Linked DNA regions of Saccharomyces cerevisiae S288C. The gene in region 2 interacts genetically with the main gene of each other region. Each region holds a gene or a part of one and is shown on either strand. Other genes may lie near its edges. The genes, in order: PGM1, RPT3, BUL1 and ISU1.

Region 1 (4,051 bases), on a different chromosome or scaffold from region 2:
TCTTCTTTAGATTTTCCAAACTTAAACTTTGACTTCCAAGAATACATTTTCAGGAACTGTATTAATGTTTGTTGATATGAGAGGAACTTTGAAGTGTCAATTTCCCGCTGTATACAAAGAAATTGTAGAGTAATCTATATCAAAGAATATAAAGGCTTTGAAATTTAACCAAACACAAACAAACCAATTCTAAAAAGTATGGGAGCGAAAAATAACTCAACTGTTGTTGGTATGACGATAGTGTTGATTACCGTTGGCTCGTTCGGGATAAGCATTTTTTAAGCCTTCCAATAGGGGCATGTTTTGATCTTGTTTTCCTGTAGCGCGGCTCTGCCGCGAAGAAAGTCGCGAGTAACGAAAAACAAAAACAATGTTGTATTATGAAGCTAATTGATAAGTCAATCAGCAAAAAATAGATATACTACATATATCCTCTACATATAAATTAAGATCAGTTAAAACATCTTTGGAAAATTAGTGCTTGTTCAAGACCAATAATTCTATGTGCGGACTGTTGGTTCGTCTGTTCCTAAAATTTCTTTAAATCTTAAGAATTTTACAATGGAGTTGATGACGGGTTTCAAGAAGACGTCAGCTGTTTGGCCATAGTTCTCCTTTTTATCAGTATACTTTTCTACGTATAATCTTATTGTTGCACCAGAACTGCCTGTGCCGGATAACCTCAAAACAAATTTAGTCCCATTCGAAAACTTTACGAAAAGGCCTTGATTTTCAGAGATGGAGCCATCTAGATCTCTATACGAAAAATCACCACAATCGATAACGGTTAAAGACTCATCAGCTGGGAAGTGGGAGCCACAAACGTTTGGCCTTGATACAAATTCACTCAAAAGAGCTACAACTTTTTCGGCCTGCTCGCATTCGATATGTTCGTAATCGTATCTTGTGAAGAAAGTACGGCCATACTCGTTCCAAAATTCGTCCTGAATAGTTTTGATCGAAGCTTCCTTTTCAGGGTTACGCCTATGGTAGATAGCCAAGATATTTAACCAAGCAATAATGGCCCATAGACCGTCCTTTTCTCTGATATGATTGGAACCTGTACCGAAGGATTCTTCACCACAGATTGATAGCTTTTTAGCATCAAATAAGGCACAGAAGAATTTCCAGCCGGTTGGAACTTCGTAACATCTTAATCCCTTTTTTGCTGCAACACGATCAATGGCTGAGGATGTAGGAAATGAACGTGCCAAGCCATAAATACCTTGTTTGGCGAAGTATGGAATTTCGGGTGCATATTCGGCAATAATGGCAACAGAATCACCTGGCGAAACGAAAGCAGGGCCATAACCGTAAATCATATTCCTATCACCATCACCATCGGAGGCTGCTCCAAAGGCAATTTTTTCGCGGTCAACCCTGTCAACAAGAGTTCGTGCATAGGTTAGATTCGGATCGGGATGTAAACCGCCGAAATCAGGTAAAGGGTGCCAATTTTGAAGAACTTCCTCTGCCGGTAAACCAAATTCATCAACAAATATAGCCTTACCATATGGTCCTGTAATACCATTTAAGGAGTCAAACAACAACTTCCACCCTTTGTCTTTGCGCTGTTTCGCTAAGAAGCTTTTAATTAAGTCAAAATCAAAAATTTCCTTCAGAAATTGAACGTATGCTTTGGCAGGATCAATTATGTCCACTAACAATGGGCCATATTTTTGGTTTTTACCAAGCTTGTTCAAATTCAACTTGGGGAAGTTCTTTATAATTTTATAGTGAGTTAATTTTTTAGACGCTTCCCAGATAGCGTTAGTGACACTCTCTGGAGCTGGCCCACCATTAGGTAAATTATACTTGATACCTAAATCATTCTCTGGACCGCCTGGGTTGTGTGAGGCAGTTAATATGATACCACCACCGGTACACTTTTCCTCGTATGTTCTAATTATATGAGAAGCAGCTGGTGTTGAAAGTAAACCGCCTTGACCAATGACTAACTTTCTGACACCGTTTGCAGCACCTACTGCGGCAATCTTGTTCATGATAACATCGTTGTAGAAACGACCATCTCCTCCAACAACTAAAGTGGTTCCCTCTGAGCCATTAGGGATAGATTGCATTGTTGCTTGAATGAAGTTCTCAGTATAATGAGGCTCATCCATGAAAACCTTGGTCTTCTTACGTAAACCTGAAGTACCCGGTTTTTGGTCCTTATAAGCAACTGTTGGTACAGAATCTATTAGAAGTGACATTTACTATTCAATTGAGTTGTTAGTTACCTATTTTTGCACTATTGAACCGAAAGTGGATGAGAGAGAGAATGTTTATAGGTAGACCAAAATCGATGTGATGCGCCCTTCTCCTTTTCTTGCATCCGTAATATAAACGCGAAATACCAGGTAAAAAAAGACAAAATCTCAAATAGCGAGAATGCCGATTTTAGAACATCATTTTTCTATTTACAAGTATAGCATTGTCGGTACTGAATGCCCTTATTCCTCATGACAGACTGAAACCACCGTGATACAATTGTGGTAACGTCATACATTTGACATTTATCAGGGGAAGACAGAGATCCTCTACTAGGTCATATGCGGGATAAAAAAATCTCCACGTCAATAGTGTAAAATTGTAAATAAAACTGTGGGCATTGCTGTTCTCGAGAAAAGCTGCCACTTGTGTTTGAACGGTGTCGGCTTTAGCATCCTGTTTTAAAAAGAAAGCCCTGTAGGGGGCTCGAACCCCTAACCTTATGATTAAGAGTCATACGCGCTACCGATTGCGCCAACAAGGCTTTTAAACGTGATTGTGTTGTATCTCAAAATGAGATATGTCAGTATGACAATACGTCACCCTGAACGTTCATAAAACACATATGAAACAACCTTATAACAAAACGAACAACATGAGACAAAACCCGACCTTCCCTAGCTGAACTACCCAAAGTATAAATGCCTGAACAATTAGTTTAGATCCGAGATTCCGCGCTTCCACCACTTAGTATGATTCATATTTTATATAATATATAAGATAAGTAACATTCCGTGAATTAATCTGATAAACTGTTTTGACAACTGGTTACTTCCCTAAGACTGTTTATATTAGGATTGTCAAGACACTCCGGTATTACTCGAGCCCGTAATACAACAGATTGATACGACCGTTAGAAATCGATAATAGATTCTCTATAATAGGCTCATTATAATAACTACTATCCCTAAATTCACCTATTTCTCCATATCATGTACGGCAAGTTTTTTTGAGAAGAAATTTATTGTATTTTATACTTCACAATAATGCTTTTAGTAAGATGGGATCAGAACAATCATTACAAAATTTCATTTATAGTTCAGCGATAATGTTCTGAAAAAGTTTCAATTCAATTCACGTGAGGACAATAACACTATGTACAGTAGATAACTTAAAAGTTCTTCTGCCGCGTTTTGGATAATTTCACGAGGGGAAATGGACAATTTTACTTAATACTGCTACCATTTCTTCCCTCGTTTATATCCTTTCATTCATTGCTGGGTTTGCATGGTCAGTCCTTACTAATTAGCTTCCTATAAACTCGATGACAGTTAGGACGCTCACGGACAATTATATTCTGAAAACACAAGTAATACTATTAATCTTTTGTACCAACAATTGATTAATACCAAACTCTTATTCCAAACAAAAGAGGTTCGTACTTAGCCGGTCAAACCTGGGCTGCGAAAAAGTCCGTGAAAATTAAGAAGAGGCTCAGTGTTTTCAGATGAAAGCGATTAAAATTTACAGATATTATCTTCTATTGCGTGGTTGTGCAACGTTTGAATAAATATTTGTAATCCTAATTTCTTGCAGATTCGGATATGACCCAGCAGGCATGTGCGAGTCAAGTTAATTTTTCGGGTGCTAGCTAGTACTGGAAAAAGTAAAAAGTGTCATTTGCAAAAAAAAACCCTCGAGAGATTTGTATGTTATTTAACGATTTCTTTCCAAGACTCTGCTGCGTGAAATCACCAACAGTTATTCAACAATGTCACTCAGAGCAGTCCCAGGATATTTTGCTGCATATCCAAGTGAGGGTTTTCAAGGATTAGACTCC
Region 2 (7,488 bases):
CACTGTATCAACTCCGGAGGAAGTGGCCCTTTGAGTGGGCTGTACACCAACGCGTTGCTTGTCCAAAGCTACAGTGACATAACACAAATACTGACCTGATGGGTCATAAGCGGACTGTAGAACAGGAGAATCCATCGGTAATGAACAATTATAAGGCAAATGTGTCTTTTACCCTCTTGCTAAGCCAAGTTTAAACTATATATGCTCTGCATCTATCTTTACATACATATATCCTATCCAATACTTGTTAATTTTTTCACCTCATCGCTTCAGCTGCGAAAGATTAGAAAAAGAAATGAAAAAAAATTGGATAAAATTTTTTTGTCAAGAAGCTCATCCCCGTGTTAAATGACAATCAAAGAATAAGGGGAACTGTACAACACGTTCAACCAAAACTATTGTAAAGAAATGCCACCACTATGCAGCATAGCCTGTTCATGCGAATAGTCGCCGCAAAAATTACGATCTGGTTTAATCAGCTCGGGCTCTTATCTTTGGCGTATTCCAGTATGTGCAATTAACTCTTGCACCACTTTAAAACGCCCAGCCCGCTGCACTCTCCCTCCTATATAAATGGAAGCGGTTTTTGGTCGCGCTTTTCGCCCTCTGCTCGCCTTGTCGATTTCTATCGTGCAGAGTTACCAGTATAAGGTGGGCAAGAAATCATAACGATATTTACTAATACAGTTGTACCTATTAATTAATTGATGGCTGGAGACTCCGATAATGTGTCGCTTCCCAAGGGTATGTTAGTTATATTGTTGTTGCAAAACTCAAGCTTTGATGCGGGTACTGAGCGGTTATACTAACTTAGAGAAAACACTGAATGATCTTAGCGACCGTACAAAAGATGATATCTGAAATACTGGACCAGGATTTGATGTTTACCAAGGATGCAAGAGAAATCATCATCAACTCCGGCATAGAATTCATAATGATCCTGTCCTCGATGGCTTCCGAAATGGCGGACAACGAGGCTAAGAAAACCATAGCGCCCGAGCACGTGATCAAAGCGCTAGAAGAGTTGGAGTATAATGAGTTTATACCATTCTTAGAGGAAATATTATTGAATTTTAAGGGTTCCCAGAAGGTGAAAGAAACTAGGGATTCCAAGTTCAAGAAGTCAGGTCTCTCGGAAGAAGAGCTGCTACGACAACAAGAGGAGTTGTTTAGACAGTCAAGGTCCAGATTACACCACAATAGTGTATCTGATCCGGTTAAGTCGGAGGATTCTTCTTGAATAGAAGCTTCTAAACAAAGTAATGCTATATACGAAAATAAACCACATGGGAATATGTTAAGCGCATGCATGTATGTAATAAAAACGAAGACAAGTCCAAAAAAAAAAAAGAACGAAAAAGAAACAACTTTTATATTTGTATATTAGAGTATAAACTAATATCCTTATTTCAAACTATCACATTCCACTATTTTTTTTGTGTTCTCCTCAGTGTTGAGAAACAAATTCCAGAATTACCTGCAAGGAATCTCTCTTAGATTCATCCAGATAATTTATGATTTTTTCGTACTTACCGGCATCTTCGTTTTGCAAATTCTTGAAAAAGGTATGTACTTCCTGGAAAACATTAATTTGGTCTAACACTGTCTCCTTCATATCATCATCACATTCGATAAAGTATTCTTCTTCTTCTTCTGGGGTCAGGTCTCCTTCTAAGGATTTGCCCTCGGTAACAGCATCACGGTTTCTAATTGCCTTTGGCAATGATAATGTCAATTCCACCAGTTTATTGGTCAGGTTATTTAGTAGTGGGCTGACACTATTAGGAACTTCAGGCATCTTCAAAAGGGTTAAAATGACCAGGACTTGTAATTTGATGGCGAAGACACTGTAGAACTTTTCATTAAACCAATTGGTAAAGAAATTTATAGTAAAACCTTCATTTTCCATTATTTGTAAAGTTTCGATTGGTTTAGCAAACAAATTGGCCAGTCCCAGTTTAACGATGCATTTAGAGTCCAATCCTAGCTCATCATTAGTGGATACTTTGATGGCTTTGCTGAATAATGGAATGTCTCTCATGGACAGTGCGAAGTACATTAGAATTTGCATAACATGCTCGATGTCGTAGTCAACTTCACTTTCCAGTTTAGCAGAGAGAATTTCTAGCAGAGGTTGAACATAAGTTTGATCTTGTGGGAAGCCGGTCATCACGATGGTTTCAAAAAAAATACTGTAGGCCTCAAAATAGTCCATGGCATAAGTTTGGAAAGAATCCAATATATCATGTAACAACTCCCATATTGGTGGTGCAATTTGGTTATAAAGCAGATGCGAAGAAATAGTTAAAGCATCCAGTAAGTCGACAGCTTCCGTAATAAAAGAAATTTGTGCATGAAGTACAACAAACTTGACCACGGGAGCTAAGGACTCGATTAATGGAACTTTATTCATTGACATGACCATAGTAGTCATTGTTTGTAACAATCCACTGGCCTGGATTTCCTGCTCTTGGTCACTTGCGCTGTAGGTTTCCGATGGATTTTCTACCAATGCTTGAGCAATACGTAAAAATTGTTCGACTAGGTTTGAAGCTAAATCTTTAGCAAATGGGGATAGTTCATCTGAAAATCTCTCCACCAATGCTTCCATGACTTCAGATAAGATATCGATTTCAAAGATTTTAGACAATTTCAATAGCTTTTCCATCATACCTGGAACATGAGCAGAGACCGCTGGGTGGATTTGAGGATTGGATACAATTAAACATTTAATGGCATCTGCGGCCTCAATTTGGACTGGTAAAACGTTACTGTTTAAGAAGTTGGTATATGTTAACTCAAATAATTGTGACAATATGTTCATATCTTTAAATTCTTCCGAATACAGCGCTATCGTTTCCAAACTTCTTGCAACCAAAAACATGTACTTATCCTGCGATAACAATGGCACGATGAAGTGTCCAAAAATATTCTCCAGAACGGATGGCTCATCTATAAACGAAAACAAGTTAGACAATGTTCTCAAAGCACCCTCTTCTTTAAATGCCATGTTAATATCACTGGAATTGGCATCGAATCTAGTAAAAATATCATTAATGAACGGTAAAATATTGTTCAGTTTCTCAGGACGTTTGGACCCAATCAAGAATATGAAATCTGCTGAAGCAGCATCTGGCGTAGAGCCTTCTCTGTTAATGTCAAAATAACGCCTGGTATATTCCTCTTGGTCATCTTCTAATAATTCGATGGATTGTTCATTAGCACACAAACATGGGAAGATGACGTTCTCAAAAATAATTTGTAAATGTGGCTCAATTAAAGGATAAAGTTGATCTATTGTAACACATTTCTCTAGGAATGAAATTAAGAAATACAAAGAGGAATCGGATAACCATAGTGAATTATTACCCCAAGCTTCAATATCCTTAAAAAATTCTCGAAGAATTATAGGAACAATAGTATTGAAGATATAGTCGATAAATTCCTTGGTGATGGCCTTTGTAATTTTGTTGTATCTTTGCAGGAATCTGTTTAAGTTACCGAACCCCCATTTGTTCACTTTAACCCTTTTGTCTAGGGACCTATCTGCGGGATCCAGTTCCATTACTTCGACTGGTAATGGTTTGGAACATAAATACAAATGTAGTTGCACCCATGACATAATTCTTTCAGGTTGGCTGAAGTATTGAGGCAAGTTGTTCAAACATGCATACTTGAATGACTTCAAAATGAGGTACAATATTTCATTAGATCTGTAATCCGTTTGACTACCGATATTAGAAGCTATCCCTTCCACAATAGGGAAAAGTTCTTCGATAACAGAATCAATATAATCTCTCGACCCAACCATGTCCCACCTATGAGCTTTACAAAGTTGGAACAGTAGTAGTAACCCGGGATAAATGTACGATGCGTCACCGCTCGATAATAAATTCTTGATAATAGGTGCTAAATCCCAATCTTCCTGACCAACAAGTATCCCATTTATGGTTTCAGTCAGGATAGGCCTAATGTGGTTATTTTCACAGTTTTTAACTAAAGTCTCGATTAACCTTTCCTTGATCGAAAGCTTTTCGTCAGCTTTTATACCATCTTCTCTCTTAGTATCCCATGATCTGTGAATCTTATTCTTCAAATAAATAGCAGAAGAAAGACGAACATTTAGCGCAAAATTATCATCAGACACTATATTAAGCAGAAAAGAAGTAAACCCAGGTTGCTTCTGGAACTCAAATAACTGCTGTTCTGCCTCTTTGATAATTTTTGCATCAGCAACCATAGTCTGCTCAATGCAGCTCAAAATTGCCTGTTCTTGTACCATTTCCTTTTTTGATTTATCTCCTTTGTTGTAGACGGGCGCAATGTTAAATGTTTATGACACAAATCGAATAGCAAATCTACACTGGGATGAAGCAGAGACTGCGTACTTGATATTTTGGTTGTACTTTATTGATTGAGATACTTGTTGATAGGTACTCATCTTACCATCTCATTTGGAAAAAAAAATATCACAGAAAAAAAAAAGTGAAAAACTTGGCTAGCGACGTCCGGTTGCGCGCGGAATAACGCTAAGAAACGTGATAAAAAAGTGGCGTCTGTATTTATTTCATTTAGTGTTGTCTAGATAGAAATGTACGTAATACTTTATGTAGACCTACGTTGAAGCATATATGGTAATCATTTGTAGAAGTCGAATTTATCGACGGTATTATCTGTCTTGACTTGAGTGGCGTAAGCTTCTTCCAGATCGCTTTGTAAGATGACATATCTGTTTTTCCTCACTGCTCTTAAACCAGCTTCCTGCATGATCGCTGCAATAACAGCACCTGATAGAGAGTCGTTACGAATAATAAGCGAGTCTAAGTCCGCTTCTGGGGCAAGGGACATCTTACTGGCAATGGTACCGAAAATCAAACGACGTTCACGCCTATCACGAAGTGAGGGAAACTCAATCTTTCTATCTAATCTGCCTGGTCTCAGCAAAGCTGGGTCCAATGTGTCTGCCCTGTTTGTAGCCATGATGACTTTAACGTTGGTGGATTGATCGAAACCATCCATTTGTGTCAACAACTCAATCAGGATACGCTGTACTTCACGATCGGAACCCGTTTGAGCATCAAAACGCTTTGTGGCAATGGAATCTACCTCATCTATGAATATAATGGATGGAGCATTTTCCCTGGCGAGTCTAAAGACGTCACGAACCATTCTTGGACCTTCACCAAGATATTTGTGAACAAATTCGGAGCCATTAACTCTTATGAATGCAGCTTTTGTACTATTGGCGACGGCTTTAACAAGCATCGTCTTACCGGTACCTGGTGGACCATATAATAGAACACCCCTAGGAGGGTCAATACCGATTTGCTCGTATAGATCAGCCTGAACTAATGGCAGCTCTACGGCTTCCCTGATTTCTTGCTTTTGCATATCTAACCCACCAACATCTGCATAAGTGACGTCAGGTTTTTCGTTTTCGCCCATTACGGATATGCTAGAGTCGGAATCAGGTGGTAGGATGTCAACTAAAGCATTTGAATGACGATGTAAAGCTACAGACATAGATGGCTTTAATAGTTCACGGTCTAGGGTTGATAATATTCTAACGACATAACTCATACCTGTGGTACTAGAAACAATACCTGTGTTCTGATCAATAGGTTCTAAGAATTGCCCGATAACTAATGGAACCGACTGGATTCTCTTTACTTCTTCTTGAGCTCTCTTCAATTCACGTTTCAAATGGCGTTGTTCGTCCTTAATATAGTCTTCTTGCAAAGTCAGCAGTTCATACTCTTTTTCTAATTTCTTCAATTTGAAATATATATCAGAATTCACATTAGACAGGGCACTGTTATTGTTGACTGTACCATTGAGTTGAGCCAACAATGATGCGTATGATTTGACGGCTGGTTTTTCTTCGACTGCCTTTTCGACAGGTGTCACAATACCTAGTTCCTCCATTCTTGTTGTGGTTTTTACTTTATAAATACTTGAATTTTATCCGATTGCCTCTTGTATAACTTATGAGTGAAAGGAAATAGGCAGAATTGGTTTGTCCACACACTGAGAATCTGAGCCCTATTACTTCCTATATTCATGGCTATACCCAATTACTGCAGATTTACTATTTTGCCACCTTACTTTCAGGAAAAATATGAAAGGGCACATCGCGCGCTACGAAGAGCCAAACATTAGAGAAATTTTGATTATAATGGATTACACCAGCTAAACATTAGCTAGGTAAGGTTAAGGATATTGAAACCAAAACGTGCTATTTACTGTGTATTTATGATTTTATTATGTACAAGGATAAAGGATGAAAAAAATGCATGCGTGTTTTTTTAACGATATTCTTGCGCAGTATATCATGTCATATCAGCCCGGATACCAAGATTGTCATACTCACTAAAGAAATTGAGTATAAGTAGAACTCTAAGGTGTCAAAGACTAGGGGAGCGTCAAGTTTCCTATATTGTATGCTTTTTAGTGTGACAAAAAGTGCCTTTATTCGTTCCCAAATATCTCTGAAGGATTTCATTTCTGTTGTAGTGGTCTCAGCCGTTGCAACTTCAGGCCTGTCGATTTCCGCCGTATTAATTTTACATTCACCTCTCTGTTCTATGTGCTCTTCAACGATCGAGTTTTCTGTGTTGCCTTGGTCTGTTACTTCCGATGATTTTCCAGGTAACAATTTATCCATCTTCATATTCTGCTCCTTGGCATATTCGTTGAGAGCGCTTTTGACTTTGTCTTCAAACGATCCTACTAACCTTTTCCGTTTCCAAGGTTCTAATAGTAATTGTAGGACAATAAACAAGAATATATTCATACCCATTAAGATGAATGTACCCCAGGTGGATGTTCTTCGGATTTTGTCTGACCATATTTGTTCCTCATGGTACCTGGTCAAAATTGCTCTATACAAGTCGTCATTTAGTTGTTCTTCTTTGCTTTCAATTTCTTTAACCTTGTTTTTTAGTTCTTGCTCCTGTCTAGCATTCAAGGCGTCATTTTTGTATAGCTGCGTAAATCTCTCTAAATCGCTCGAAGACCACGCGCTTTGCCTTTGCAATAATTCGTTAACTTCTCTTTGGGATTGAGCACGTTCATCAATGGCGTTAGCGTACTGTGCCTTAAACAGTTTGTGTTCTTTCTTTGTAGCTTCTAATTTTTTTTCCATTAGACTGATGCTAGATTTGAGCTTTTGAATTCCAGAATAACCGGTCACATCATTTAAAGCACGTGTGGCAGTAAATAACGTCTCCTGTAATGAGTCAAAATAAAACTCTAACTTTCTAGACCATTTTTTTCTATGTTGTTCCCTTTCGGAGGGCAATCCTTCAATTTTCGCACTGGTCAATTCATCTTTATTATAGTTTAAACGGGAATCGTTGATTTCATTCTCTTGCTCAGACAACTTCCTGTTTGCCTCTTGAATTGATTTTTTGGCCTTGTTAACTTGAAAGGATAATTGATCTCGGTGGAAGTTAAACCTAGAATACAATTCATTTAATTTCTTTTTCA
Region 3 (9,530 bases), on a different chromosome or scaffold from region 2:
GTCTTGCTTAAACCATAATGATATCGGATCTTTCAAGTCAGATGGTACGGTTTCTAAAATTCCTTGCAACATTTTTTGAAATTGCAGCAGCTAATGGCTCGAGAGTACTGTTGAGTATTTAGGGGGAAAGGAGAAAGAATCAATTAGTTCTCGCTACAGGGAGAAAACAATACAATATATAATGTTCAAAAAAAAAAAACGAAATGAAATCAAAAAAAAAAAAAAAAAAAAAAAAAAAAAAAAAAGGATTTCAGGATATCAAAATAAGCAAAAATATTGTTGCTATTTATCGATTTGTTACAAACGTATATATAATATGAACAATTATAGGTACAAAGACCAATGAGGAAAATGTGTGGAAAGATACGGCATCTGAGCTGCTAATCATCCAGCATATCCATCAACTCTTCCTCCAACTGCGAATCGCTGTCTTCGTTGTCATCCCCTTCTCCTTTATGTTGTACAGGACCATCTTGAGAAGGTTCCGCCTTGGTCTTCTTTTGTGATGTATCATCATGATTGTCCTCGATGCTCCTCTTTCTGTCAATGCCTTCCGAGTTGTTTTCGTCATCACTTTCGTCGTCGTGGTCGTCATCTTCGTCGTCGTCGCTAGCTGTGTCCGGAATATCTTCATCGTCGTCATTGTTTAACCATGAAGTACCAGCAGCGAATAAATTTAGATTTTCTTGTGATGTCAACATATGCTGTTGTTCCTGGGTCTCCTCCAGATATTCTTGTCTTTTTTGTAATTGTGTTTGAAAGTTTTGTAATTCCTCGTCGGAGATGGGGCTGTCCACGATTAACGTGTAGGGTTTTTCATCCACCTTTTTCCAATTTACCAAACACTCAAATATCCAATCTGGGTGAACAATTTTAATCTGTGGGTTGAACTTTTTCGCTAGACGCGCTTTATAAGTGCTAGGGTTCTTGGTGATTAAATGTGTCGTCAGGTAATCTATATCTGGAGTGGAAGTGGCACCAAATGTACTCGTCCATATCACTATGTCCGACCTTTGAATATCGGTCCCGAGGGGTATTAATCCTGAAAAAACAAAATAGCAATTTTGGAAGACTTTTTGCTTCAAACTTGGTATGATTTCCATCAGATTTGGTTCTGGCTCATTTTGTTGTGAGAGCATATCATAATAAGTTTTGTGAATGTTTGATAGCGTACCCATTAAGTAGTATAGTTCATCATCGTCATCAACTAGTAGTTTTTGATCATGCAGGTGTTTTTGTAGTTTGGCCAAGGGTCGATTTTGTTGTTGGACTTCTAAAGATGCTGAATATTCTAGTTTCTTGGTCAACTCTTCTTTGGATTCGTTCGCAGGAGGCTCCTCAGCAGTCGCCAGTTGATGGTTCAATTTTTCTTCTTGGCGTTTAACTTCTTTATCTATCTTTTCTTGTAGTTTTTTTTCGTTATCCATAATATCCGTCAGCAGTTCCTGAGATTCTTGGCTCTTCTGTCTTGTCTTCCTCCCTAGTTGTAGCATTCCTGTAGATTGTTTGGGCAAGAAATTAGAATTAATGTCACCTACACCAACGAAGAAGTTATAAGGAACAACTTTGATCAAGTTTGGACACCAATTCCAAACATCACCTCTGTCGTCAATAACTACAACCATTGACTGGTCAGTGGGGAAAAGTTTAGCTAATGATTTAGTTGTTAGAGACCCATTTTCATCACGCGACAGAATTCTATCGCCAAACAATTCGCCCGTAGGGTCCACGATTTTGGCAATTTGCAAGGCATAAGCCCTTGTAGCCATTGTGTAGATATGCATTTCAAAAAGAGGCGCCACTTTAGCGAAAAATTCCTTTAAACCGGGCCTTACCTTCACGTAGTACCAACATTTTCTTACGGGAGGCGGTCTCAGCATAGAACCATCGTCATTCATGTACATAAGTGGGAGTACTAACTCCTCATCCAACGTAAAGCTCTTGACGTCTCTTAATGTTTCAAAATTCGGATTATTGGGGTCGTTCTTCCACTCTGCAATCGTAGGGTCCACGCCACAATGGATGATGGTTTGATCTAAATCCACCACTAAGATAAGTTTCTTATCCCGTCGCAAATGCTCCTTCAATGCCTTGCCTGTTCTAATGGCTTCTGTCTCGCTAATCTGTAAATCCACGTCCCCGACAACGTCTAGTGGTACACCATCGAAGGCATCTGCAGAAACTTCTTTCCCGCATTGAGTACATAGCCCGCCATACACGATGTCATGGTTACATGGCCTTTTTATTTCGCAAATCACTTGGTTAGCAGTGGCTACTTCATCTCCTACGTCTACATTCCAACTAATCAAGTCCCCCTCGTAGGGACTTTCGAAGAATTCTATGGATTCACGCAGTTGTTTGGTTGGCGGAGAGACACCATTACTTCCGGCGCTGCCGCCGGGGGAAACATCGTGCTCGTTATCATCGTCACCAGTGTCTGAGGCCCTTTCCACCAAATACCAGAACTTATAGACAAGCAACCTATCACCCTCATGAAGGTACGAACCTACGCTTGGAATGAGTTTATCGATCTGAATCGGATACGGCAAGCCTTGGGGAGACCTTATTTGTGTGGTCATAATCTGCTTTGCTTGTGTTTACACGTTCGCGGTCAATGCAAGTACCGCTATATGACTAAATACAGTACCCTGGCTGCTAATTAAAGGGGGAAGGGGTGATTGATTGGGATGATTAGCTCGTTGTTATTATGTGTTTATTACTGTAGGTGTGAAACGAAAATTTTTTTTTTTCTTTCGCAAGGGCGCGTCTTCCAAAAGTGTCCAGATATTATGATGATATTATTGATGGATACATGTAATACGTAGATTAAATATATGCCGATAGAGTAGGGTAAAAGTATATAGGTTGCGGCATCTAGACGTTTATTTAAACATCGCCGTTCAGTAGTGAATCAAGAGCGCCTTGGACGGAGCCACCGCTTCTCCTGAGGGCTGCGACGTTTCTATCGAAATCGAAGAAGCCCATGTCGTTTAGTTGTCTTAATTGATGTTCATAGCGTTCTTCCGGTGGTCTGGTGTCTTCTGCTTGAGATGCTTGTACAGGGGGTTGGAACATAGACGCTAGCAATGCAGGATCGAAGGCGGGCATCCCGGTGGATGCAGCGTTTCCCGCGTTAGCAAAGGGGTTTAATGCAGGGTTCAGAAGAGACGCAAATGGGTTTGCAGCTGTGTTAGCGCCTGCGTTGGTACCTGCATTAGTCCCTGCGTTGTTCCCTGTGTTGGATGAGGAAGTAGTGTTCGTGTTGGAGCCTTCCTCTGGAGCATCGCCACCAGGAGCGGGGAAGGCAGAGGCAGCCCCACCTGCAGAGCCCATACCGGCATTAGGGTCCATCATTCTTGCGAATTGCATGCTCTGTCTAATCATATCAGGATTGGTGAGCATCTGTCTAAACATGGGACTTTGTAGCATTTGCCTGGCTTGTGGACCCATGGCCTGCAATTGCGGGTTGGACTGGATCATAAAGTCCAACATCTGAGGGTTACTCAACATCTCGTTCATTTGCGATTGGAAGATGGGGTTTTCCATCATCCTCAACAGCTCGTCTTGGTTATTCGAGTCGTTGTTTAATGCACCACCGTCCGGGCCAAACATGTCTGCAGATGGCATATTCAAATATCCAGCGTATCTGGCACTGGTCAAGTCGGCCAGCGGATTGAAGCCTGCACTTTGACCTGACGACATGTTCGGGGTGGCGCCAGTGCCAGCTGCTGCACCGGTGGCGGTGGCGTTATTTGCGCCAGCGGCACTGGCGGTTTGTGGTTTGGGTTGTGACTTGACCAGATGGACGCTGTGACCGTCTTGAATGTGGTATGACTCCACGGTTTGGTCGTCCTTTAAAATCTTACCCGAGTAGATCAATCTCTGATTTGCCACCGGGATACCGTTCGCTTTGTTTATCGCCTCCTTGAATTGCAACACTGTGCTTTCAGGTGCCACATTTACTTCCCACTTGTCTTGTCCTGACTTGATATGTATATTCAACGACATTATCGTGCTAGAATGATTCGGTGTCTTTGATCCGTCTTATTTGCCTCTCGTCCATCGGTGGATTGAACTTAAAACTGGCTTTAAATTGTTCTTTCCCTTCAGCGGGCCGTGACCCGCTCTCAGAGGCTATTTTAATAATGATAAAAGTATTGCAATGAAGAGCCGCATAGTGATTATGGAAAGAAGCTCTTAGCAAGGGCGAAAAGAGACTGTTCGTGTGTGTCAACAGGTATATCGTACGCTAAATGGCCAAAGATTTGAACGATTCGGGGTTTCCACCGAAGAGGAAGCCTTTGCTGCGTCCTCAACGATCTGATTTTACCGCAAATAGTTCGACAACTATGAACGTTAATGCAAACACAAGGGGGCGTGGTAGGCAGAAACAAGAGGGTGGTAAAGGCAGTTCGAGGTCACCGTCGTTACACTCTCCAAAATCATGGATAAGAAGCGCGTCTGCTACGGGGATCCTTGGACTAAGACGTCCCGAACTAGCACATTCTCATTCGCATGCTCCTTCCACCGGAACGCCTGCTGGAGGTAATCGTTCTCCTTTGAGAAGATCAACTGCAAATGCGACCCCCGTCGAGACCGGAAGGTCCTTGACCGACGGAGATATCAACAATGTTGTTGATGTACTGCCCTCATTTGAGATGTACAATACCCTGCATAGGCACATTCCGCAGGGCAACGTCGATCCAGATAGGCATGATTTCCCACCTTCATACCAAGAGGCCAATAATTCTACTGCAACAGGTGCTGCGGGCTCGAGCGCTGATCTCTCACATCAATCATTGTCCACTGACGCATTGGGTGCCACACGTTCTTCGTCAACATCAAATTTAGAAAACTTAATTCCCCTTCGAACCGAACATCACAGTATTGCAGCACATCAATCAACCGCTGTCGATGAAGATTCACTGGATATACCTCCCATACTTGATGACTTGAACGATACAGACAACATTTTCATCGACAAATTGTACACTTTACCAAAAATGTCCACACCCATCGAAATCACCATCAAGACGACGAAGCATGCACCTATACCACACGTGAAGCCGGAGGAGGAGTCCATTTTGAAAGAGTATACGTCGGGGGATTTGATTCATGGTTTTATCACTATTGAAAACAAATCTCAAGCAAACCTAAAGTTTGAAATGTTCTATGTCACTTTAGAGTCTTACATTTCCATTATTGATAAAGTAAAGAGTAAAAGAACGATTAAACGGTTTTTAAGGATGGTAGACTTGAGCGCTTCTTGGTCATACTCGAAAATAGCACTGGGGTCCGGTGTGGACTTCATTCCCGCAGATGTTGACTACGATGGTTCTGTATTTGGGCTAAACAATAGCCGGGTTCTGGAACCCGGAGTCAAGTACAAGAAATTCTTCATTTTCAAATTGCCACTGCAATTGCTAGATGTCACTTGTAAGCAGGAGCATTTCTCTCATTGTTTGTTACCTCCCAGTTTTGGTATTGATAAATATAGGAACAATTGCAAATATTCCGGTATCAAAGTCAATAGGGTACTTGGGTGCGGTCATTTAGGTACAAAGGGCTCCCCCATCTTAACTAACGATATGTCTGATGACAACCTTTCGATCAATTACACTATTGATGCAAGGATTGTCGGTAAAGATCAAAAGGCCTCTAAACTGTATATTATGAAGGAAAGAGAATATAATCTAAGAGTAATCCCTTTTGGTTTTGACGCCAATGTCGTCGGAGAAAGAACCACTATGAGTCAGCTGAATGATATCACCAAACTAGTGCAGGAAAGGTTGGATGCTCTTAGAAAAATCTTTCAGAGATTAGAGAAAAAAGAACCCATAACGAACCGCGACATTCACGGTGCAGACTTGAGTGGTACCATTGATGATTCTATTGAATCAGACTCCCAAGAAATTTTGCAGAGGAAATTGGACCAACTGCACATTAAGAACAGAAATAACTATTTAGTCAACTATAACGATTTGAAGTTGGGCCACGATTTGGACAATGGCCGCAGTGGAAATAGTGGTCATAATACCGATACTTCCAGAGCTTGGGGTCCCTTTGTTGAAAGTGAACTAAAATATAAACTGAAAAACAAATCCAATTCCTCCTCATTTCTGAACTTCTCTCATTTTTTAAACAGCAGTTCCAGCTCAATGTCCTCTTCCTCAAATGCGGGAAAGAATAATCATGATTTAACGGGAAATAAAGAAAGGACAGGGCTAATACTAGTAAAGGCGAAAATTCCAAAACAGGGCCTACCATATTGGGCTCCCTCATTATTGAGAAAGACCAATGTTTTTGAATCTAAGAGTAAACACGACCAAGAAAATTGGGTGAGATTGTCTGAGTTGATTCCGGAAGACGTAAAAAAACCATTGGAAAAACTTGATTTACAATTGACTTGCATAGAATCCGATAATAGCTTACCTCATGATCCGCCAGAAATTCAATCGATTACCACAGAACTGATATGTATAACTGCTAAATCTGATAATTCTATCCCAATAAAACTCAATTCTGAACTGTTGATGAACAAAGAGAAGCTGACAAGCATCAAAGCTTTGTACGATGATTTCCATTCAAAAATTTGTGAATATGAAACCAAGTTCAACAAGAATTTTCTTGAATTAAATGAGTTATATAATATGAATAGGGGAGACCGTAGGCCAAAGGAACTGAAATTTACAGATTTTATTACTTCACAGCTGTTTAACGATATCGAAAGCATTTGCAACTTGAAAGTTAGTGTTCACAACTTATCCAACATTTTTAAAAAACAGGTCAGTACCCTAAAACAACACTCAAAGCACGCATTATCTGAGGATTCAATATCGCACACAGGTAACGGTAGTTCATCGTCGCCCAGTTCAGCGTCATTAACGCCAGTAACTTCTTCATCCAAGAGTAGTTTATTTTTACCTAGCGGTAGCTCGTCTACTTCCCTGAAATTTACAGACCAGATTGTTCATAAATGGGTTAGGATTGCTCCTTTACAGTACAAACGAGACATTAATGTGAACTTGGAATTTAATAAGGACATTAAGGAAACTTTAATTCCAAGTTTTGAAAGCTGCCTATGTTGTAGGTTTTATTGCGTTCGAGTAATGATTAAATTTGAAAACCATCTTGGCGTAGCGAAGATTGATATCCCTATTTCTGTTAGGCAAGTGACAAAATAAAAAAACATTAGAAAAAATTCTCGTTACTTTTCTTATAGATATAGATATATGTATGGTTTGCTTATAGATGAAGGTATTTATCGCGTCCTTTGTATTCCCTATTATTAATAAAATTCTTTTAAAATGCATTTTCTGGTGCTCTTTTGTTGCTTCTGTATTTTTTTTTTTTTGGACCACTGGATGGAAAACCTTTGATGATTTTATTACCTTTATTTTAAGTTACTAAAATATCGAGATTTCAGGAACAAAACATAGAATTTTCTTTGTCAAGAAAAATAAAACGAAATAAATTGATGCTTTGACTACTGACTGTCTGTCATAGAGAGAACCAGAACAGCAATGCTACAATTCTCAACATTTCTAGTGCTCCTATACATCTCCATATCCTATGTGCTACCGCTATATGCAACTTCACAACCAGAAGGGTCTAAACGAGATAATCCTCGAACGATTAAATCTCGCATGCAAAAACTTACAATTATGCTAATTTCCAACCTTTTTTTGGTGCCTTTTTTACAATCTCAATTATCTAGTACCACTTCACATATAAGTTTCAAGGACGCATTTTTAGGCTTAGGTATTATCCCAGGTTATTACGCTGCATTGCCAAACCCTTGGCAATTCAGCCAGTTCGTGAAAGACTTAACGAAATGTGTTGCGATGTTATTGACCTTATATTGTGGACCCGTTTTAGATTTTGTATTATATCATTTATTAAATCCAAAGAGCTCTATACTTGAAGATTTTTACCATGAATTCCTGAATATTTGGAGTTTCAGGAATTTTATATTTGCACCAATAACTGAGGAAATATTTTACACGTCAATGCTTTTGACTACGTACTTAAACCTAATACCGCATTCGCAACTAAGCTATCAACAGTTATTTTGGCAACCATCGCTTTTTTTTGGACTTGCGCACGCACACCATGCTTATGAGCAATTACAGGAAGGCTCCATGACAACTGTTTCCATTCTGCTGACAACATGCTTCCAAATTTTATACACAACACTTTTTGGAGGGTTAACCAAGTTTGTATTCGTAAGAACAGGCGGGAACCTATGGTGCTGCATAATCCTGCATGCCCTTTGCAATATCATGGGGTTTCCTGGTCCTTCAAGATTGAATTTACATTTCACAGTAGTAGACAAGAAAGCTGGACGCATTTCCAAATTGGTCTCAATCTGGAATAAGTGCTACTTCGCACTGCTGGTCCTTGGATTAATATCCCTGAAGGATACCTTACAAACTCTGGTAGGAACTCCTGGTTATAGAATAACCCTTTAGCCTTTTTTACGTACTTGTATACCGTTTAAAATTTCCTATGTACTATAACCTTTTTTCACTACTATTATGGAATTCTATCGAGCGACCGGGCTTTTGTTACGGAAGAGTGAAAAAATCGAGTTTTGGTGTTTTGGTGAAAGAATTTGGAGGACTATAAAGTACCTATACTTTGTATTACGGACTCAATAACAAGTCGTTCGTGTCAGTGGTATTGAAGTTGTCAGATCTAAGAGTAGAGAGAAGGTGGCATCTAATAGGTTTCGACGTTTTTCTTTTTTTAAGGTTTTTATTTGGTCTCCTAGAATTTAAGGTCTTAGTTAGTTTTGGTTTGTTTTGTGGGTTACATATTTTCAATTCAAAGGAGAATTTAGCTGTCTTTTATAATGTCCAATAGAGATAACGAGAGCATGCTGCGTACTACATCAAGCGATAAGGCGATCGCTAGTCAAAGGGATAAACGGAAGTCTGAAGTTTTGATTGCTGCACAGTCCCTTGACAATGAAATCCGCAGCGTAAAAAACCTAAAAAGATTGTCGATTGGGTCAATGGATTTACTTATTGATCCAGAATTAGATATAAAATTCGGTGGGGAATCTAGTGGGAGACGATCATGGTCTGGCACGACATCCAGTTCTGCGTCAATGCCAAGTGACACAACCACCGTTAATAACACACGATATAGCGATCCAACTCCGCTAGAGAACTTGCATGGGAGGGGTAACTCAGGGATAGAATCCTCCAATAAGACTAAACAAGGTAACTACTTAGGTATAAAAAAAGGTGTTCACTCTCCATCCAGGAAATTAAATGCTAACGTATTAAAGAAAAACTTATTATGGGTTCCCGCCAATCAACACCCTAACGTTAAGCCTGATAATTTCCTAGAGCTTGTACAAGATACTTTACAAAATATACAACTAAGCGACAATGGTGAAGATAATGATGGGAATAGCAATGAAAATAACGATATTGAGGATAATGGGGAGGATAAAGAATCACAATCATATGAAAATAAGGAGAACAACACTATCAACTTGAACAGGGGGCTGTCAAGGCATG
Region 4 (6,947 bases), on a different chromosome or scaffold from region 2:
GTCGCCGTCTGTGTTAGTTTGTTGAACGGGAGAATCTGTGCCGTTCATTAGATAGAAGTTTTCAACGTTTTGATTAGTCATTGACACATGCGAGAGCGATTTGCACTTAATCAAAATATTACAAACGACAGCTAGTTCCTTTAATGTCAAATTATTGCTATCCAAATGTATCCTCTTCAGGTTCGGAAATCTTGGTAAATACTTGTACATGTAGGGTAAAATGTCAGGAAAGCATTGCGACAAATTACTCAAATCCAAAAAAATCAAGTTAGGCAACTTAGAAAGATATTTCAAGAGCAAAGCTAAATCATAAGAAGTCGAAATATTAGTGCTGTTCAAAATGAAATATCTTAAGTTATCATATGATAGAGCAGATAGTTTACCAACCATTGGCTTAATCATAGTGGACAGATCATTAAACGCTAGATCCACACCCTGGACGTTATATTGAGACATCCAATTGAAGATAAATTTCAGACAATCCTGAGAGATATTGGAAGTAGTGGCACCTGCTAAACCAAGCCTGATGCCCGATTCTGGAAAGTTTTTTTGGGTAGCAAAGGATGTCAGTAAACGTGCAAAGCATGAGTAAGGAATTTTGCTAAATTGAATACCATTGAATAACAATTCTTCTATAGGTTTGTGAGATCTCTGAGACAAGACGTCAGTAAACAAGTTCCAATCCATGTTATGGCGATATAGTGATTCAGCAAGGTCAGATTTGATTTTCGTTTGGGAAATGTCGAGCTTGTTCAGTGATTTGTTTAGCAAAAGGAACTTACATAGTAATTTCCATCCATCTTGGTCGATTCGTACATTTCTTAAACTCAATTTGTCCAAAACTGTGGAGTTTACCAAAGCAGAAATAATTATTCTGAACATATCCTGGTTTAAAGCTACATTGTCGAAAACAATCGTGTGAATGGGAGCAATGGTGATGAAATCACAAAAGGAAAGAATATCGATCAAGGTAGGCTTAGGGTTCAAAAACTTCAATATTTGCAAGGGAGCTGTCTTGTCCTTTACTTGTCTTAGGGTAGACGGAATGGGTAAAATTTCCCTTAAATGGCAGCATCTTGTGTAAATAACATCCAGCGTAACTTCGTTATTTTCAATAGAATGACCGTCTTGGTACTTATCTTGATCAGGTTCCTTGAAATAGTGCTCATGCATATGAATGGGCTTATCAATGCCGGCTTTTGAGAGGTTTTCTGCAAGTTTATTATTCTCAAGCTCCCGATCAGCTTCAACATTTGGAGGTGACACCTCTTCTCTTTGCTTCGTAATGGTGCCTTCTGATGACTTTTCAGTAAGCTTACCGCCTGCATCCGAAGCAGTCTTAAAATTGGCTACTTCAAAGGCTATTCTATTAGCAGCAAAATGAGCTTCTTGCTGATGCTTAGCAGCCTCCCTTAAAGCCAACTTTTGATTTTCCAGGGCGAGTATATATTCTTTAGACTTCTTAGTGTACAACGGTCCCTTAATGTTGGAATTGGTTGACTTGGCCGATTGGTTGCTACTGGAAATACCCACGGAAATAGAAGGAACCTCGCTTATCATGTCATCAGGGATAAGGATGTTTCCCTTTTTTGGGGTTCTTGAAGGAAGTTGTTGGGGAGGATCGGATTCGAATTTATCGACGGCAAACGAGACCCTTTTCAATGAAACTGTAGATAGGTCTTTTACTGCAAGTGCAGGGGAGGGGAGTATAGGTGTCTGTGGCTTGCTAGCTGTTGGTGCCACTCCTCTCATTGGTGATGATATCTCCTTCACCCGTGGATCAGGAGTCGCAACTGCTTTAATGCCACCAGACTCATTCTCAGTCGTGCTAGTATTAACAACAGGTAATGGTTTCTTGGCAGTGGAAGCTGAAGAAGAGGTAGACCGTTTGCTAAACAAAGATCCAAAAATCGACCTTTTAGTCTTTTCTCCACTAGTCGAGTTGCTTCTCTTGAGAGTAGCATTAGATGGTGAAGAAATTGGCGGGTGCTTTCCCTTGCCAACAGAAGAAGATGCGGTGGCGTTTATGGCAGAACTGGCCAGTCTTGGTTTGGACGAGACCACAGCATTGGATATAGAAGTGGAACGTTTTTTCCTTACAAATTGAGTACTTGAGCCGTTGTCATCATTATCTATAAGGTCTATGGCGTCTACGGTAGCCGGATTATCAATGTCAGCGGAATCGCTCCGGTTACCGCTATTAATAGGAGTAAGTAGCGGTATGTTATCAGTGTCTGATGCAGAGGTATTACCATCGTTCCTCTTCAAATCTGGTTTCTCAGTATTACAAAGTGCTGCATTGGATACAGATGACGACCTCGCACGAGGCTTATCATTGCTAGACCTGTTACCACTCGTGCTATTGTCTCCGTTTTTCGAAGAGGACGTAGATGAAGAGGAGGCTGGCGACGTAGAAGGCCTCGATGGCTTCGTATTTGTCTTCCGTCTACTCTTACCTTTATACAACCAATCTACGGGCACATCGAACTCGGTGTTAGTTATCATAACCTAGATGCTATCTCCACTCCCTATGCTTGCTTTGGTGGACTATTGTTTCCGTTATTCGCAATTTCTATAGGACTACTATAGATTATATAAACTGAATTTTAGCTTTATGCTGTGGTGTTATTTCCCAAAACACGCTCTTCTTTCTTACGCTTTCCGTTAGCTTATTTGCTCACGGTATCAAGATTACTTTTTTTTTTTTTTCTTCTTTTCTTTTTCTTGCACTACCCTCTTCTTCTTGTTCTTCCTTGCGTTTTTACCCCTCTTCCCTTTATTTTGCAGCAAAAAGAAAGATGGAAAGGCAAAAGTGAAGGCATGATGATGACAAACTTGAAAAGAAAGAGAACAGCGAAAAGAGATGAATAATCCATGGCAATGACTGCACGCTCATGGGTATCAATTGGCTAGGTCTAATATTGTTATTGTTTGGAGTATGGCGTAGAGAAGTGGTTCCTTAACCTTAATTAATGCCCGTGCCATGATGATTGCATCACTGAGACGTAATGTGGAAACACCACTTCTCGGTCCGCGGACATCAACCGAAGGAAAAATGACAAGCTATTTCCGTGTATATCCGCGCCAATCCCTTCGGGGCCGAAGTTCGGAGGCTTTATCTCCGCTTAGCCAAGGCCGTCAAAGGCGATAAGGTGCGTTGCACCCCAATTAGCCATGGAGAAGGAAAAAAAAAGCATGTATGATCATGATGATGCAAAAATTGAGAGGAAAAATGACTCAGGCTATTTATATAAGTAAATGAAAGGGTTTCGTTGTAGCCTTTTCTGCTCTCTTCCTTCGCTCTTCCGCATATATATTTGTGTTCAGAGATTATTCTTAAATCCATAAGAACATCCCTTCATATAACAATTGAATAAGGAAAACACAACACATAACACATATTTAACCTGATGCTTCCTGTTATAACGAGATTTGCAAGGCCTGCTCTGATGGCCATCAGACCTGTGAATGCCATGGGGGTTTTGAGAGCGTCCAGCATAACGAAAAGGCTTTATCATCCCAAGGTCATAGAGCATTATACACATCCAAGAAACGTCGGCTCATTAGATAAAAAATTGCCCAACGTCGGCACTGGTCTAGTGGGTGCGCCAGCGTGCGGTGATGTGATGAGGTTGCAGATCAAAGTCAACGACTCTACTGGCGTTATTGAAGATGTCAAATTCAAAACTTTTGGATGTGGCTCCGCCATTGCCTCCTCTTCATATATGACTGAATTGGTACAGGGGATGACCTTGGACGATGCGGCAAAAATTAAGAACACTGAAATTGCTAAGGAGTTGAGCTTGCCCCCAGTCAAGTTGCATTGCTCTATGTTAGCGGAAGATGCGATCAAGGCAGCTATTAAGGACTACAAATCTAAGAGAAACACTCCAACCATGTTATCGTAATGAATAAGAAGATAACCGGGACAAGAACAAGATCAAACCCTCACTAATCAACAAGTTGGACTTAATTTGTGCAAGCATGGATGTTTCTCATTAATATTGTCATATTTCTTTCCCTTAATCTAGCATTTCCTTTCTCTCCCTCTTCTCATGCATATCTTCCTAGATATATTTCTCCAGGGTGAAAGCGGGACGGACGTGCTTGTTTTACCTCACCTGGTACTACTAGTATTTTCATTACTCTTTTTTCATCCTCCCACTTCCCCCTTATATATTTGTTTTCCCATGTGTGGTATATGGCATCATTATTATATAAATATTCTTTAGTTGTAAAAGGCTGTTTTAATTAACACTATTTATCGCTAGACAAAACTAGACTTTCATTATTTCCTTCATTTCAACGCTTGTTTAAACATGTGCTAGGTAAGCGAGTTTTTTACTTTTACTTCCAATAAATATATATATATATATACGTATACATGTATGGGCGGGCTACAACAAAATGAAATAAAAAGCGTCAGGATCATTGTTTTTTACCATACTTGACTTCTCTGAAAAAATCCATGACGTTCGTGAAAACTACCAACAATAACCCACCACCGGGGGCAAGTCTCATGACCTTTGGCGCAAATCCCTTATACAATGCTTTAAACCCTTCCTCACGGTAAACTAACAGCACTGAAGGCAGGGACCAGTTGTACTTCCTCAGCGGCCCGGAACTTCTTTGGATCCTAGATTTTACCACGTCAAATGGTGTATTCAACAAGCACCCGACAGTGCCACCAATAGCACCTGCGATCAAATCATTTCTGGTCTTTTCCGTGCTTGTTTTAGCCGCCGGCAAAAGCTTCCGAATTTGGAATATTATACCGAAATAACCGGCATTCCAAAGAACGTGTCTCCAGATAGTGGCTTCCAACCCATTGAAAAGTGACAAAACACCACCTTTCACAACACTATTCTTTACAACTTCAATGGGTGTCTTGAACTGTGAATTCACATCCTGTAATCTAATCTTCACTAGTTCAAAAGGCGCGACGACAAAGGCTTCCACGGCGCCAGCGGACGCACCACTGTATATGGCGATTTTTTGAGTCATCTCCCCATTGGGCGTGGGGAAAATCTTTTTATAAAACGTTTGGAATGTATCGTTTCCGGAGAACTTAATTGCTCTTTTCGGAGCCTCCATTAATATAGGCGATGTGATACCCTTGTAAAGATGCGAAAATCCTTCCTTCTTCACAATTTTTGTAAGACAATCCATCACGCCCGTGTAGTGATCTACTGCTGCTTTCGCTGCAACAACAGCGGGATGACCTTTGGTTGTCACTTGTAATTGCATTCTTGTCTTCACCACGTCCAATGGATACATCACCAATAGCTCCGAGACGCCGGCAATGGCACCGGCTGTGAACTGGTATATGAACGGCAAAGGTCTATTATCTATAGATGTCATCTTACAGTTCTTTTTCTTTCACCCTCGTTACAGTTCTATCTTGAGAATAAATGAGATAAAGGTTCCCAAAAGTCACTGATATATATCAACGGCGGTCACCCTCACAGAAATACCCGAGAATCTGCCCTTCGCCAAATCAGATTCAGCCAGTTCGCAGTTTTTTTCCCTATCTCTGGTCGCCGCATTATGAAAAGATCCTGGGGTAATAATGGGAATGATTTGAAAAAAAACAAATGCTGGTAGAAAAAGGTCTTCGTATTGCTCGTAGTAATACGGCTATTTCAAGTAACTGCTCGGGCCAGCGGCTTGAGGAAAAAGTAAACCCGTTACTTTGCTTTTTAATGACGCTGGAAATACCAATTACCTACTATGTATTACTTATGCTTATGACAAAGGGATGAAATTCCCGACGATGCAAATTGGGATGTTGTACCTATCCCTTCTGATAGTGAAACTAAAACAGCATGGCCGTTTGCGGATTCCATCTTTGGTTCGAAGACTACAACTTGTTAAAACAGCCTTCTGACCCTTATCAAACGCTATGGACCCGTATTTTTCCCAGAAATTCACAGCGCTTTCTTCTGTCATCAACTCGTAGATCGCAAGCTTTCCATCGCGTAAATCATCGACTGTGCAGTCAACCAGTGAAGCAAACTCTTTATTGGCTCTGTAAATCTCACCGGTACGCCTACACAAGCACGCTGGCATGCTCATAGAGGTGAAAACACGATCATAAGATAATAACATCCTCTCGAAGCTCTCCTCCACTAAAACTAAGTCAACATCCTTCAATGAACGCGCAATGGTTCTAAACGCCGGTCTAATGGTGGATAGTGGTTTCAGAATCCTTTGCTTGGAAGACTGATTCATATATTTGTCCATGTAGTCTTGTAGTCTTGCATACCCCTTGGCATAATTATACGGCTTCAATAATCCTGCTTCAAGCTTCGCATTTATGACCAACTTCAGCCGGTGTTCTGGTGTCATCTCTGTTGACGGATCCGCCGCTGTTAAAAAGAATTGTTCCTTCGGTGTCGGTGCACTGTTTTCGTTTGCATTCGCTAGAATTCGAGACTCTTCCTTTTCTTGATCTTGTTTATCCCCTTTCGAGATACTATTGGAAGAACCTGACATAATAGTAGGCGACCTATTTTCTTGTCTTGCCACTCCTATTTCATCCCTACGATTGTCGTTTTGGTACTCTAATGGCGATTGTGTGGTTTGTGAGCCATTTTCCAAATGAACATTGCTCGCACTGCTGGAACTTAGTGATGTTTGAGTCAATAGAGGATTTTCTAGCATAGAAAGAAATTCATTCAAAGAACTGAATTCCGAACCAACATTCTCGGACACAAATACAGGTTGTTGCGGAAGCAGCAAGCTGGTTGTATCATTTACAAGAGAGGAGTCTAGTTTCGGTGACAGTTCCTCTCCATATGTGGATCCACTTTTATTGACTGGTTCATTCTGATAGTCAGACGGAATTCCAGTGTGTGCTTTATTTGCATATTTGCCCTGTATATTATTATCATTCGGAGAACTTTCGTGCTGTGATGGCATCTCATTTGGAACCGCAATATCATCTT

What was found.
Region 1: mutations in RPT3 (region 2) and PGM1 together harm fitness more than expected from each alone (negative genetic interaction), as found in Saccharomyces cerevisiae (2 studies listed by BioGRID).
Region 3: mutations in RPT3 (region 2) and BUL1 together harm fitness more than expected from each alone (negative genetic interaction), as found in Saccharomyces cerevisiae (2 studies listed by BioGRID).
Region 4: mutations in RPT3 (region 2) and ISU1 together harm fitness more than expected from each alone (negative genetic interaction), as found in Saccharomyces cerevisiae (2 studies listed by BioGRID).

The regions. Positions count from the first base shown.
Region 1 is NC_001143.9:201,703-205,753, reverse strand, and holds PGM1 (phosphoglucomutase PGM1), read right to left. Parts: upstream 2,214-4,051; coding exon 501-2,213; downstream 1-500. Other genes in the region: serine/threonine protein kinase YPK1, read right to left, coding at 1-47; PMU1 (putative phosphomutase), read left to right, coding at 3,983-4,051. UniProt on the Saccharomyces cerevisiae protein: Minor phosphoglucomutase isozyme that catalyzes the reversible interconversion of alpha-D-glucose 1-phosphate and alpha-D-glucose 6-phosphate. The mechanism proceeds via the intermediate compound alpha-D-glucose 1,6-bisphosphate.
Region 2 is NC_001136.10:1,260,118-1,267,605, reverse strand, and holds RPT3 (proteasome regulatory particle base subunit RPT3), read right to left. Parts: upstream 5,926-7,488; coding exon 4,639-5,925; downstream 1-4,638. Other genes in the region: UTP5 (Utp5p), read right to left, coding at 1-135; negative cofactor 2 transcription regulator complex subunit NCB2, read left to right, coding at 708-744, 837-1,240; SXM1 (Sxm1p), read right to left, coding at 1,448-4,282; SHE9 (She9p), read right to left, coding at 6,335-7,488. UniProt on the Saccharomyces cerevisiae protein: The 26S proteasome is involved in the ATP-dependent degradation of ubiquitinated proteins. The regulatory (or ATPase) complex confers ATP dependency and substrate specificity to the 26S complex.
Region 3 is NC_001145.3:813,305-822,834, reverse strand, and holds BUL1 (ubiquitin-ubiquitin ligase BUL1), read left to right. Parts: upstream 1-4,253; coding exon 4,254-7,184; downstream 7,185-9,530. Other genes in the region: phosphoribomutase PRM15, read right to left, coding at 1-72; FCP1 (protein serine/threonine phosphatase), read right to left, coding at 381-2,579; ubiquitin domain-containing protein DSK2, read right to left, coding at 2,887-4,008; RCE1 (CAAX prenyl protease), read left to right, coding at 7,524-8,471; ZDS1 (Zds1p), read left to right, coding at 8,855-9,530. UniProt on the Saccharomyces cerevisiae protein: Component of a RSP5 ubiquitin ligase complex which specifies polyubiquitination and intracellular trafficking of the general amino acid permease GAP1 as well as other permeases such as PMA1.
Region 4 is NC_001148.4:294,143-301,089, forward strand, and holds ISU1 (iron-binding protein ISU1), read left to right. Parts: upstream 1-3,410; coding exon 3,411-3,908; downstream 3,909-6,947. Other genes in the region: protein phosphatase regulator GIP3, read right to left, coding at 1-2,505; ODC1 (mitochondrial 2-oxodicarboxylate carrier), read right to left, coding at 4,429-5,361; gluconeogenesis transcription factor RDS2, read right to left, coding at 5,746-6,947. UniProt on the Saccharomyces cerevisiae protein: Scaffold protein for the de novo synthesis of iron-sulfur (Fe-S) clusters within mitochondria, which is required for maturation of both mitochondrial and cytoplasmic [2Fe-2S] and [4Fe-4S] proteins.